Linked DNA regions of Styela clava. The protein of the gene in region 1 purifies or fractionates together with the protein of each later gene. This does not show direct contact. Links are inferred from orthologs where the notes say so. Each region holds a gene or a part of one and is shown on either strand. Other genes may lie near its edges. The genes, in order: transcription initiation factor TFIID subunit 4-like and transcription initiation factor TFIID subunit 5-like.

Region 1 (7,388 bases):
AGAAAAGCTATAAATTATATATAGGATAGGCCTATATCATATATCTATTACGTAGACTTCAAGTCGAGGAACAATATATAATTACCATAAATTCACAAAAATAAGTCGTCATTTGATTGAAAATGTCATTACAGCAAAAAATTTGATTTGCTCTATTATACAAGACTAAAAAATAAATATATCTAGAAACAATAACTTTTGGGTGTAATTCCATGTGCTAAATTTTTATCTAGTGCAGTGACATGATAGTGGTGGTAATATACAATACACTTGGCTGGAAAGAGACAGGAAGTCAAAATTGTTTCATGTTAGAATTATAAGAACAGGGTCCAAAATAAATGAAATATATACTAAATTAGTTCTATTTGATATAATAAATGATTTAGGATAGTTTCACTTGAAAATTTGACATTTTCAAGTATTTGCCATCTGATGTTCAGACAAAAAATAAATTCCATTAAAGTTCTTGTACTATAAAAATAAAAAATTTGAAAAAGAACATTTCCAACTAATCTGCATTATCAAATTATATTATATCCAACTTGTTTCGAGTTAAAGACTCGTTCCACTCTGAAACTTGTATTTACTTTGAAGCAGATAAAATTCATTTCACCTGTACAATAGCAGGATCTTGTGGCAAAGAAGTCGTTGGTGGCTGCTGTGGCTTCGGAGGTTCACATACTGTCAGATCTTCTATGTCGCTTCCACGAAATATAATATATTCATATAAATCATCTCGTGGAGGGACTACACATTCGGTCTGCCGATCTTCTGTGCCAAATGATCGAACTGTAAATGGAATAAAATAAGTTTTTTCTTGGAAAATTGTGCCAAGCATTATATATCGGTAAAAACTCTAATAATAATACTCAATTAACTGACATATGCATAATACAAGATAATAAAAAATGGTGCAAAATTGGGAAACTATGATTATGCTTCATTTTAACTAAAATTGATGAATTGACTGATATATCACAGCATTAATATTCCTTTTATCTGGAATAGCGAATATAATAATTAGGCTTGTTTTTTCAAGTTAGAATGAGGCAGCTGGTAGCCGGAATGCAGGTATATTTTGCTTTGTATCTTCCATAAATTTAAGTGAAATCTGTGGTAAAGCCTATTACCACAATGGAAAGCATGGTATATTTCAGTTTTTGGCATCAGCATTTTGTCTGCAATACCTAGACCAGATTTTCAAGACTTCAAAAATATAATATTAATCATCCTTATTATCAATTCAATAATATAATGTATATTATTATGAAGTCAGGAAGTATAATATTTTGCAGTTTAATTTATACAATATATAAATTTTTGCTACATATAATCAATATTCCTCAAGTAAAATTTATAATAAAACTCGAATAAATAAATTGTGTAACGAACATCATAAATTGACAAATTTATAAGGAAACGTAAAATATACCTTTTGCCAGAGCAACTGTAGCATTTTCAGCATCAATCGTGAACAAAATTCCTTCATAACGGATTTTTGCCTTTGATATCAAACTAATCCTACTGCCGATATATGGAGTTCCACAACTCATATCGCCAAAAAACTAGGAGGTAAAAATTATGAAATATTTTTATAGTTTTTAAGAGTTACCAAACACATCTCAGTATCTGCACATACAGACATAAAAGATTTCCAAGAGAACGAGAGAGACAGGTTTTTATTTCCAAACTCTGTCATTATGGTACATTTTTTTATTTACAAATCCAGTCTACATATGTGCTGCAGTCCATTAAGAACTAACAAACTAAGTTTGAGATAAACAATGATTTCCCAATTTGCACTGCTGAACAGCAAATATCACATCCCACTACGGTATTTAAAAAGCAAATAACCAATGTGACACCACCTGACACGGATAGCCAAATAACTTCAGAGCTTGTTTTCATTAAAGCTGTATTACCATTGATACTATTCCGAGTATATTAAATCTCAGAGAAAAGTCCTGCCTCGTGTAAATTAACAAGAAAGAAACGATAACTAACAGTTTGATTTCCTACCAATTTGAAATAGCGACAACGGATAAGGCATGAAAACACTTCATGACCCGCGTTCAGATTGTATGACGCGTTGCTCTTAATCGCGCTCTAGTGTTCGTCTGAAAATCCATTTTTTCTTTTTTCTGTGATATAATGAAAAATGAAAATGAGAGAAAAAGAAAAAAGCAAAATTTGAGGACCGCGGTGTGAACCACTTGTTATATATGAAGGGGGTGTCAGCGGAGACTTGTTTTATAACGTAAATACACTGATATTTGTTTATTCGATTAAAAAGATTGTTGTATAACATAAATTTACATTTGCAATACAATAAAAATTAAAAAAAAAATTCATAATACAATGTTTTTAATTTTTCATATGACCGTACTTCATTTTAAAACACGATCCATTCCCTTGAATCGGAAAATGATGACGCATGCGCACTTCATTCTTGTTGTGAAGGCCGTGGAGTAGTGATGGCGCCCAACGGGTCGCTGCGCTTCATTCGCGCCCGAGGTTTCGAGGTGTGCATTTGGGAGTTGTGAGTTGGTGGAGCTAATGGCCCACTGAACGATCATATAGTTAGTTGCTAAATACATTTTTTTACTGATATGTTTATAGTTGTAAAGGGTGCTTGACCTGTTTCGAATATTATTGTCAGTCGTTTATACATCAACTTTCAGCATTTCTTTTAATAATCCTGTAACTGTGTAATGCAAAAGAAGTGTCTTGTGATATAGGATTCTTGACATGTTGTTGTTTGACAGAGCACAACAATCAAGTACCAAGGTACAAGATAATACAAGTATTGGGTAACATATCTGGGTGATAGTGACCTATTGCACGACCAGTATTTAATATCTGAATATACAGATAGGCATATGAAACTACAGAAATCAGGAAATATCTGTTCAATTATGACAGTACTGCAGTATGAAGAATACTTTTATGTAAGGGTGTAGCCTATCTAGTATAATGGTTATGTATAGCAGTGCAGTCATACCGATATGGTATTGTCTAAAACCACTTTTAGACTTGTTAATATTGTTAATTTTTCATATCATATTGCTCTATTGGGGTATTTTTAATTTGCCCGATCTGTCTGTCAAACCCCTCAGGTTTGGATCGAGCATAGCATGTGGTAGCATTGCACTTAACGGGTCTAGTATAGTTTAGTACCACAAGAACTTCCAGTGGGCGTAACATAACGAAATTTGCGTATGTTATTCCTAATCCCCACCTGACTATACCATCCAAAAATTACATCACTACGACGTCACAATCACATAATGGAGCTTGCCAAAGTACAGTTACAATCACCCGAAATGTCATCTGCGCCGCCCATAATGAACTCACTAACGCCCGCGATCTCTCTCATAGCGTGATCGTTGTGGCGAGAAAACATGATGGATAGCTTGCTTGATTTTGAGTGATCGTCTGCGCGTTCCGCATACTTTGTAGGGACTTTTAAGCCACTGTGACAGATTTTTTTGGTGACGCAGTCAGGCGGGGATTGGGAATGACATTCAAAAATTGTTGAGCCAGACCAACTAGAAGTGCATGTGGTACTAAGCTATACCAGACCCACACAAGTAATAGATAGGATAGAATTTATATATTTATCCCGGGGGAGAGGAAAGACGGCTTATCCATATGTCGAACCACGGCCTCTCGTCCGGTTACCATTCAAAGTCGGGTATGGAATTAGTTATATTGTTTGTTTTCGGAAGCATGGACCTGGTGGTGGAGGAAGCCGTAACCGACCAGCGGTTACGTGAACTACCCAACGACGGCGAGGAGTCCAGCAATCCTCTCGCACATAACCATCCCTGCATGGGATTCGAACCTGCGAACCCACGCAGAGTAATTAGAGGTGCGGTGGCTAGCGTATTCCTAACGCTTAGCTCGTTGAGCCACACCGCTGCGCCAAACACCGCATCGCTCAGTCATTTACTCATGTATATATCAAGTTTATTGCACCTTTACAATTCCACAAATAAATGCAACTTTTTTATTTCTCTCTGTGGGATTGCGATTAAATGACTAAGGTCTTTTTCGAGAGATTCTAATCCAGATCTCAATGCAAAGATTTATTTTAAGAACTTGCAATCGTAGTCAAAAATTAATTCTAAATATATTTTTTCAAGGTGATGTATAGATCTAAGCTGTTTTGTTCAATGCAATGAGGGTTAGCCCACCTGGATCGACGGACACAGTTCTCACATCTTCATCAAGTACCCCAAACACGTTGAACAGCTATAATTCTGGAATGAATAGTTTACCTCCATTTTCTGCAGCAAAAAACGGAGTACAGCAGGTCAGGACTGCTAGCCCGGTCACCTCTCAGCAGCAAGGGATGCTTAATGACTGGTCAACAGGTCTAAATGAGGGCTATGGGGCCCCAACCCCACAACAGCCGACCCTAGTTTTAAATTCACAGTTGCCTAAAGCATCCACACCTGTGGCAAAACAATTAACGACTCTGACCACAGTAAATAAAATTCCACAACCAGGAATGCAGCAATCAAATACTGGTTTGCAAAATAATTTATTGAATCCTACATCGAAGGCTCAAGTTTCTACGACTCAGCCAATGGTGACTGCGCGTCCTCAACAAGGTGGTGCAGTGCAACTAGCATCTGGGATAACTATTCCTCCAGGTTAATTTGATTTCTACTTTTTATCTAATTCCTTTTTCATACGCTATGCAGTCACAATGGTACATAATTATGTACTGGAAACTCTCATGGACTATTGTTATTGGGTCAAAGGTTCCTAAGTTTTTAATACGACAATGCAGTGGATGAAGAATTTATTTTTTTCAAACTTAAATAATAAAATTAAAAGTTTTAAAATATATTCAAACTTAACTATTACGATACATGAAGCTTGTTTTCATGCACATGTCCTTAGCTGTACTGTTTCACCACGATAATTTTCCATCATTATTCAAGCTTGAATATTACAGCGACAGAAAACCAGTCTAATACAAGTTGGATGTGGCAAAAGGGATCAAAACCCCCTGGAACAGGCTTAGCTATATATACTGAAAGTTAATATGTCCCCTTTTCTTATTTTTTCAATTAAGTGAACTGTATTTTACTATCAAGCATTACATTCCTATATAAAGAGTTATGTTCCACACAATATCATAAGCCCTCGAATGTGGAACTGATTGAAAGTTGTTGAGCATCGATACAGGGCTGTTAGTGAACATGCTGAGCCTATCTACACGCTGGTTATATGGTTTGATGGAGCTTTTTTCTTGATTTACTTCCTGTATGATGAATGATCTGTGCTTTTCGCTGATTTCCCATATTACTTTTGATTCCAACCGTATACAGGTATGGTTCTAGCAAGACATCAGAATGGACAGTTGCTGCTTGTGAGTAGTAATTCGTTGTCATCGTCATCTACTACAAATACATCCACAGTTCCTGTAACTCAGACCGCAACATCTGGGACCGTAACAACGTTGAAAAATTCGACAACAGCAGGTGTTGGGACATCATCACCTCAACCCGCAGTAAGTATTAAAGTTGATAACAAAGCAAAGATCAATTATAAGTGCCCAGATTTTAAATGAATACTGGAATTTTAGCAAAATTTCTGACATTTTTTTTTAGTAATTGTAGGTGTTTCACAGATGTCATATAACAGTATTTCTGTGAATTGGAAAAAAAACAGCAAAATTTTGAGTAGGACAAAATTTGAGCAAAATAGAAGTAATAGCCTCCTAGGGACTTATTCCACATTGAAGTACTGAAATATGATTTTATTAGGTCTATTAGTTGCAAGAAAACAACAATTACAATAGTTAGCAAAATGGTACATGTACTCTTTCTACCCAATAAGGGAATTTTGAAAACACCTGCCTCAAATTTTTTGTAAACATTTCTGTATGTTTTATTCTGCAAATGTTTTGCACAAATCAAAATCTTACCACGATTATGTAAATTTGCTTTTATCGTATGAAACACAATCGAGCAACTTTTTATTGCTAATTTCCATTCCATTCTTTTGACAATTTGTTTCATATCGTCTTCTTACAAAAAAAGTCAAAGCCAGGCTCAACAGAATAAAGGATGAAAAAATCTATTGATTCCATTTTTCTATTAAGATAACTGCAACAACAGCTGGTCAGGTGGTAGCAAGAACAGTGGTTCCAGTTACAAATTCAATTAACCTTAAAGCTGTTGCTGCTAAGCAAGTAAGTATGGAATGTATTTTTCACAAAGTTTTTCAAGTTATATTTATTTTATGCCCAGTATCAGTAACTCGTCTGTAATATCTTCCTTTCCATTAATACATTGTGAAATCATGGCATATCTTTGTTTATTAATAATAATAATGATTTTTCTTTTTTGATTGATTATATTAATAAGATTTATTAATTATTTGTGATTTTATGCCCAGATGATATAATATGTTGTCTAAAACCCAATAATTTACCATTCTGAAATAATATTTCCAAATATGGAATACCGAATACGTTCTGAAATGGGCCATGTCTACAGTGAAAATCACTCAGACTGTTAATAGAAGTTAAATTTGTTAATTAGCTCATCTGTGTCCTACCAAGTTCAAATGCATTCTAATACTCCATTTGTTTTCGGACACCCCTGATCTCACAGAATTCACCACTTATTGCATGAAACTTCAATTGTTTCTTAGCAATTTGCACTTAGAGTGGATTCTGCCATAATGAGTCTCTAATAGTTACCAATATACAGCATTATCTACTGTCTTTGTCTGCAAGACTTTGTTTTATATTTTTCTTATCATGTACTGATCATAAATATTTTGATCTGAATCTTTTTTTCACCAAAACATTACTTTTCAGACGGTTGCTGTCAGTAAAGTATCTACCACAAGTCCAGCGACAACACCACAGAATTCTCAATCTATAACGCTATCTCAGGTATAAGAAGTCTGATGTTCTTCACTGATTAACATCTTCTTGTAAATTCATTATCTACGAATGCAGCGTAACAAATAACAAGGCTAATATCATTTATTTGTAACTGTTGAAATCATATCTTTATACAACCAAATACTGTTCCCAATCAATTAAATCCGAAAGCCTTTGGCAGTGAATGAGGTGTTATTGTATTACTATGTGATTGCTCAAACGGGATAGACATAATAGCAATAGACTTCTTGCATAGCACCTTATCATATTTTACTCGTTGTATACTTGAATAGACGGTCCACACAACCGGCCCTCAACCAGGGGGCCATGGCTTACTGCTGAGCCACAGAATCTTTTTAAAGTTTCATTTGGGATCTCCTGAAGTCTGCGCACCAAGATGGCGCACAACCTGAGTTGTACCAGGTTAGGGTTCAGGTTGTGCGACATCTTACTGCGCATACTTCAGGAGCACCTTCAT
Region 2 (7,434 bases), on another chromosome or scaffold:
CCCCATAAAGTTCCTAATATTTCATTTTAAATACCTGTAGATATCTTTTCAACATTTGAAACGAATCTCGAGACATTTTGATAACAAATTCGCTGCTGTGAAAAACCCTCATCAACTCATTTCCTTCCATATGTTCTTTCTTTGTCATTGTCGATAATTTGATTAAATCTTCTTCATGAAAATCTTCTAATTCTCCACTAAAGAATAAGGAAAGGAATTTTTTAATTAACCCCGAGAAAAATTTCTCAATTGTAGAACTTCTGCTTTGTCGAATTTCCTAACAGTGCAGACTTGAAGTGTTTCATGTTTCTAATTAACTTGGTATTTTAAGTCACAGGAAGAAATATATATCTTTCTATTGTATGTTTGAAGTAGAGATTCTTCTATCATATTCTTTATTTTTATTTCACAGCCTCTTTCTGAGTAAAGTGGAGAAGTTGCAAAAATAATGCATTTAATTGTGATTTATGAAAAGGAAATAATTCTAAATTACTACGTTCATTTCTCCTAACATCTTAGTGACCCCCAAAAAAATTTATCAACTGGAAAATAGCTTGAAACAAATTGTATCACTCCAAGTTCACATTATATTTGAGCAATTTTTATAAAAGTATTCTAGGATCAAAAACTGCATTCACTTCAATTGAATCAAAAATTAAAAAGTGGTCATATCTACTATAAACATGATTGACCGTCTATACAACTTGCTTAATCACCTGTATTGTAGAAAAAATAACTTTGCCTTTTCCGCATGATTATTGTATAAGAGTTCTAGATACATATGAACAAATACTGGATATAATACTTGAGCTAATTCCCATTTATGTGAGTCCAAATTTGATTCGATGAACTGCTTTAACATTCTACAAATATAAGAGGATAGAATCTCATAGACAATAACAAATAATTCACTCTTTCGAATACATTCAAAATTATTATTTTTGAATATGCAATATTGAATTTATTCGAAAATAAAACCAAGCAATAGAAGCTTTTCTTAGGAGGAATTTGCAAAACAGTGGAATAACTGTCATCTACAACTGTCATCAATCTGGCTATTTATGACACATTTTATGTCCGCAGATTGCTGTCAGAGTGGTAATGCTTCTATTTTTTCGTAAGAGTCGAGTTATTTTATTTGTCACTTCAAAAAACAATCAATCAAGAACAAAAATTTGTCATAAATAAATATTGAAATGACAAGTGCTGTGAAGGACGGAATGATCCGGCATCGAGTCTACAACACCTTAAAAAGATAAAAAAAATAAATGAATAGAAGAAACAAATAAAAAGAGTAGTAATAGTATCAAAAGTATGTAAATAAGAATAAGTATGAAAGTCCAAATCAAAAATTATTTATCACAATTTCTGAAATGACAATGACATAGAATCAAATCTTTGATTGGTTGTTATCTTCCGTGCGAGCGTGAGCCGCATATTGTTGCCAGCATTGCCACCATTCCCTTGCAAAGCTCCTAATTTACGCATTCATTTTTTCCTTTACTTTGAAAAATTGAAACACCTGACACCCACTCAAGTTTAGTCAATGACTCGAGTCAAGCAATCAATCAAATCGCTCAGAAAAAGCACAATAAAATCAAAATAAGAGATCTGTATATAGTCAGTCATGTCTTTGCTTGGAAGGGACAGAATAACCGTGAAATGACTATTCGATCTACTTGTCAACGGCAACCTTGCAATATGAATAAATTCTAAGAATATAAAATTACCACAAAATAAACGGGTTCATGCGAAGCTCTCCAACACGAAGCCCAAGTACGAGGAGCGAGTTGGGTGTATAGAGTTAAGAATCTAAATAAGTATATCCTATATGTTTTTTTTGATTATTTTACCTATAACTATCTTGGTAACTTGAAGGATCAGCTTGATTGGAATAAGTGGAAAGTAGTGATGAAACATCAGATGTACTAAAATTTTTGCTATCAGATGGAAGTCCGTCAGAACCTGAAAAACAAGTAAAGTTAAATAAATCAAATTTATTAACCCTTTCCGTGCGGTAGGCACGTATACGTACCAACGACAAAAGTCGCTAGATTGCGGCGGGTACGTTGATGTACTCCACTGTTTTATTTAGCAATCGGTCGCAAACTGTTGGTCTAGTTTTTCCGGATTTTAGTTTATTGATAAGAAGTCATCTTCGAGATTAACATAAGCAGTGGTAAATCTCGCTTTCGTTTACGACGGGAATTTTATTTGCGGCGGAACGAGGGAGTGTTTTTGAAATTTATGCAAATTTTGGTGTTTTTTGGATGGTAATAGAAGACATATTATCCCTTCCATCTACCAAAGTATTTTGAGTTAGATCACGAAATTGCTACAGCAATATTATGCTATTGTTTGCCAACCACGAAGCGGTAACAGTAAAGGATTTAGCGAATATTTCTATTTTTTATCACGGTTTGAATTTTCAACTCCCAAGAAAAAAAAATGCCTTTTTTCTATCCGGTTTGTGACTCAGACCACCCCTTTTAAAAAAAATTTTTAATCGCCAATTGCAAGCTCTTTAAATAAGCTTTCCAACGAGCCGTCAGTGGGCAGCAGAGAATCATTACTTTTTCGTTAGTCGATCGATTAGTTGTGGGGGTGCAAATGCATAAAGTCGGCGTAGCAAATACGATTATTTAATAAAAAATAAAAATCGCATGGAAAATTACATCTTACAAAATTAAGGCATTGTCTAGCAATTTCTCATTTTTGTGATGTCATCTTTTTTACAAATATTTATTTTATCGTTTGTTATGTTGATTATGGAGTCGAAATAAACTTATACTTATTCAAATATCCAGCAAGTGGTATTGGATTTCAGCATTTTACTAGCGATAATCTACATATTTTGTTACCTGTAAGTTTTGAAGACTCCTTTTCCAGCATAGCTGCCGTTGTTCCCAAGTTATTTTTCTTCAAAAACTGAAGAACAGCTAAAAGTGTTTTCTGATTTTCATTTGTTGGGGTCTCAGTAACCTTAGTTTCATTCGTGGTAGAAATGCATTCCGTGACTTCCATTTTAACAGGTAACGCGGGCACATTTGCAAATACAGATTCCATTATATCCGTTTTCTGTATACAAACCCGTATAGCTGTCCATACAAACTAGAAACGAAGCAATAAACCAATCGGATTGTAAACCCTAAACAACGCTATTCATTCATCAAACGCGAAATACAGAATCAGAGCGCAAAACACCGGAGGTTATCTTTTGTGGCACCGTAATCGCGTCACAGGCATTTTAAGGTAACAAGGTAACAAAAAAAAATCAAAATAGAATGAAAGATTTTTAAATTAATTAGTATTTTTTAAATAAAAAAACTTAATAAATTTTGCGCATGTAAATCATGTTATCTGCAATTTCCTTATTTTTGAAATCATGAAAGACGCTAAAACGATACCAGTGGCATAAAATTATGACGCCTTAGTCAACACATGTTGGGTATATCATTATTTATAATGTGGGTCGCCACAACTTCGATTTGATTGCAATTTTGTGAGACTTTGATCGAGTTGACGTTGGTGGAAGATGCAACACGACGATGTAAGTAATTTATTTTTCTTCAGTCACCCTAATGCCTTCAATAATCTTACAATCTACGACATGACAATCTATTGAACGTTTTTTACAGGTTATTTGGGATGTCATTGGAAACAAGCAATTTTGCTCCTATAAAGCAAAGTAAGTGTGTTTTCTGTCTAATGAATACCACCCTTCATTTCCATCAGTATGTTCAGAACAGCTTCATTTTATAATATCTTTTTTCAGAGCAATCACATCAAAAACACAAAGATTTTGTAAAAATGAATATAATTTGACGGGACTTTGCAACAGGGGCTCATGCCCGTTGGCTAACAGCCAGTATGCTACTATAAAAGAAGAGAAAGGTTTGTAATGTAGTATTTTCACATTTCCTATAATAGCCTTATGTTGTAATAATAAATATTTTAAAATGTTACTCTAGGTGTTTGTTATCTTTATATGAAGACAATTGAAAGAGCAGCTTTTCCTGGAAGATTATGGGAAAAAGTAAAGCTATCAAGAAACTATGAAAAAGCATTGGAACAAATTGATGAAAATTTAGTATATTGGCCGTACTTTTTAAGACATAAGTGTAAACAACGCTTCACAAAGATATATCAATATTTGATCAGAATTCGAAAGTTAACTTTACGAAGGCAGTAAGTATATTTATTGTAGCTCAATAAATATTTCCCAATCAATATTTTACAAAATCAAATAATATATTTAATAAGTGTTACTGCATCGCATGAAGTTTAATTATTGACCAAACAGTCAAATTGAGGGCTTGATGGTCAGGCAATATTAGGGGAAACTCAACCTAAGCGAGTCTTCTTCAATCATCTACCATAGAAATAAGTCAACACTCTTAAAGTAAACAGCCCGAATTGAGTATTAATGATATTGAATAGAAAAAAATCATACATGTTTGAAGAAGCGTAGTTCTTACCACTTCATGGCAGCTCCTGCCACGAATGTACTGCGGCGTCTCTTGCCATGGTTTTATGGCGCTATTACCTGTATATTTACAAAGTCATGTACAATATTTTAGTTTATCATGCGGAAATATAACTACTTGAACCTAAACCTAACCCCAAATACATCAAAACTGTATTCATAAATAAAGCGTTTCAACTTACCCAACATTTACATGCCGTGGTTCAGCAGCAAAATTGGTGGTATTCGATTTGCTGCCGTATCCACGGCAGCTTGCTATTGGTTTGTGGCAGCTAAAAAGTCAGTAGCGCTATTGGTCATAGCGGCTATGGATTTGCGACAGCTCTAGACGCCACAAAATACTTGAAACTGCACTTGTGTTTTAAAGGATAAATCTGTTTTTAATATTTTCAGGAAAAAATTAGTGCCTTTGAGTCGGAAAGTAGAACGAAGAGAAGCAAGGCGGGAAGTATGACTAATTTATTATTGAATTCACTTACCAAGAAAAATTCTGTTAAACTAATCATTTTTATTTCATCTTTTCAGCAAAAAGCGTTAGTTGCTGCACAATTGGAGAATGCAATAGAAAAAGAATTATTGGAAAGATTAAAGCAAGGAACGTATGGAGATATTTATAATGTATCAGTCACTGCATTTGATAGAGCTTTACAAAAAGATGAAGCCGAGTCTGAGAGTGAAGACGAGGAAGAAACTCAGGCGGTAATGTTTGTTCAAAAATGAAACTTTTGCTCTGGTATTTCCTGAGTAATCTAAATTTGAGTTATTTTCATCACAGGAGGTGGAATATGTAGCTGATGACGAAGTGGATGAAAGTGATCTAGAGGTGAGATTTATTTATATCTGTCTATTTTGTAATCAGTAACAATGAATACATGAAGTTTCGTTTAATTTCTACCTACCCTAAATTTTCAGGACTAAATATGCCTTTCCCGGCGTTGCAAAGATGTGCTTTGGCGTTAGTTAGCTCTATAGATTTTCGTATCTTTTGATGAAATAAAGCCACTCAATACATACACTAACTTTCCAAAAGTCAGGCCATGTTGGCCTCAATTGAATTTATGCTTGCCTGTCTGTAATTCTACCTTTATGGTTTCTGACATGCTATACTACTATATGATGAAATAATCAGTGTCTTGCATATGTATATGAAAATGTCTATAAGTTGCTTGTAACTGCACGAATCTATTTATCTTTGATGTTCAAGAATTCGGATCAGTGTTGTATATGTATATTCCACTAATAATTTTCTAGCTTATGCCAAAATAAATTGCTAACAGTAAGCTAGAATATGATTGAGATTAGCAAAAATTCATGGACATGATTCTTGATATCATTCTTTCATCAGGATATTGAAGATCTGACATCAGAAGGAGAGTCTGAAGAGGAAACCGAGAAGGAAACAAAATCTGCATCGAAAAGAAAACATTTAGAAATAGAATATGAAACTGAACCCAGTACAAGTAAAACTAAAAGAGAGGCACTAACTTTTTGAAACACGGATTATGACAATGCTCAAAATGTGCAACTATTCCCAATGTGATGAAATACCATCTCCACGATATAGACTGGACTAAGCAGAGGTGGCAATCAGTTGTTGGATTTTTTTGCCATATTGACTTAACGCCAGATCTGTTTCAGCTTCTAACATCTGTGCAGTCTCCTGTTTGCATAAATGATCAATATGGTATATTAAAAAAAGTGCGAGAAATTATGATTCATTTGATCCTGAAATCATGGACCTACCAGGATAAGTTCTTTAGAAAGCATTGAAAGTTTCATCGTTGTGTCAATGATGGCATTCACGATTTTCTTTTTCCCATTTTCATTGCATCCTTTCCACCTCCAATCATCATTTTCCAGGTTATAAAGTGCTCTTATTAGAAATCTTAACATTGCTTCACAGTGATGTTCTAGTCTAAGAGAATGACAAATTGTATTAGAATGATAAAGACTAGTAGTACAGGATAGTTTTTGAATATACCTATCATCAATATAGCAGAATAATAATTGATTTTAATCTTGCGTTTAAATAGCATACATTCTCCCCCTACATTCTCTTTCATATACTTGCAAGCAGGTAAATGTAGTCCTATGATATTCGATCAGTAAGACTTCACTCACCTTGGCCATGCGGCATCAACCATTTTTGAAATTACGTCAATGCAGCTCAACATTGTTTGAATATCGGTACTTTCTATTCCGTAATCCAGAACAATTATAATTTTCTTAATATGACCAATACTTTGAATTCCCATTCTTGATACAAAGAAAGGCAGTGCAGAGGAATAAACTCTGGAAGGTACAGAAGATGTTTCGAATTACCAGGTCAGCCGTAGCTGTTTAATAGATGCAGACAACAAATATCATCCAATGCTAAAAGCTAAAAATATTTGGCATATAAAGTTTGAGAAGTGACTTTCCCTGTTACTAGAACTTTCAAAAGAGATGAAAATTCTAATTTTTTGTCAACCCAATAATTTCAGGTGTACTAGGGTATTTAACTGCAGGTACTTTCTTCTTGTTTACTTTCTATTACGGATCTGTACCAGGATGCGTGACTGAGATAGTATTATGAAGATAAATAAAAATAACTTAATCTTCTTCCACGAAGCAATATCTTGTGTTATCTGAAGAAGTTAGACTGTGATCTAACTAACGAAAGCTCATAAATATACTTGATATTTTGTGGAAAGAAATTATGTTATTTTTATTTAGCAATAATTTCACCCATGATCTAATCATAATGTAATTGAGGACTAAATGTTTATTAAAAATTCATCCTTATCAATGGTTTTATTTCGTAAATCAAATATAATTCACCTTTTCACTAAATTGTCACTCGACAAATGAAAGTTATTCAGAACAATTTCAAAGCACTCATCATGCCTTGGAATACTGCATCCACGCTTCCGCATCATTTCAGATTCTAAGCAATCCAGAGATTGCAT

What was found.
Region 2: the proteins of transcription initiation factor TFIID subunit 4-like (region 1) and transcription initiation factor TFIID subunit 5-like purify together in Drosophila melanogaster (affinity purification with western blotting; 3 studies listed by BioGRID). This does not show direct contact. The link is inferred for Styela clava from reciprocal best matches to the Drosophila melanogaster genes Taf4 and Taf5.

The regions. Positions count from the first base shown.
Region 1 is NC_135262.1:5,622,751-5,630,138, reverse strand, and holds the start of transcription initiation factor TFIID subunit 4-like, read left to right. Parts: upstream 1-4,145; 5' UTR 4,146-4,180; coding exon 4,181-4,658; intron 4,659-5,342; coding exon 5,343-5,524; intron 5,525-6,118; coding exon 6,119-6,208; intron 6,209-6,841; coding exon 6,842-6,919; intron 6,920-7,388. Other genes in the region: protein LSM14 homolog B-like, read right to left, coding at 614-789, 1,433-1,553. UniProt on the Drosophila melanogaster protein: TFIID is a multimeric protein complex that plays a central role in mediating promoter responses to various activators and repressors.
Region 2 is NC_135258.1:9,324,655-9,332,088, forward strand, and holds the start of transcription initiation factor TFIID subunit 5-like, read right to left. Parts: upstream 3,208-7,434; 5' UTR 3,067-3,207; coding exon 2,862-3,066; intron 1,966-2,861; coding exon 1,854-1,965; intron 864-1,853; coding exon 717-863; intron 198-716; coding exon 35-197; intron 1-34. Other genes in the region: protein MAK16 homolog, read left to right, coding at 3,536-3,550, 3,639-3,688, 3,776-3,894, 3,972-4,188, 4,880-4,934, 5,012-5,185, 5,262-5,309, 5,832-5,978; TELO2-interacting protein 2-like, read right to left, coding at 6,057-6,146, 6,230-6,401, 6,608-6,778, 7,307-7,434. UniProt on the Drosophila melanogaster protein: TFIID is a multimeric protein complex that plays a central role in mediating promoter responses to various activators and repressors. May play a role in helping to anchor Taf4 within the TFIID complex.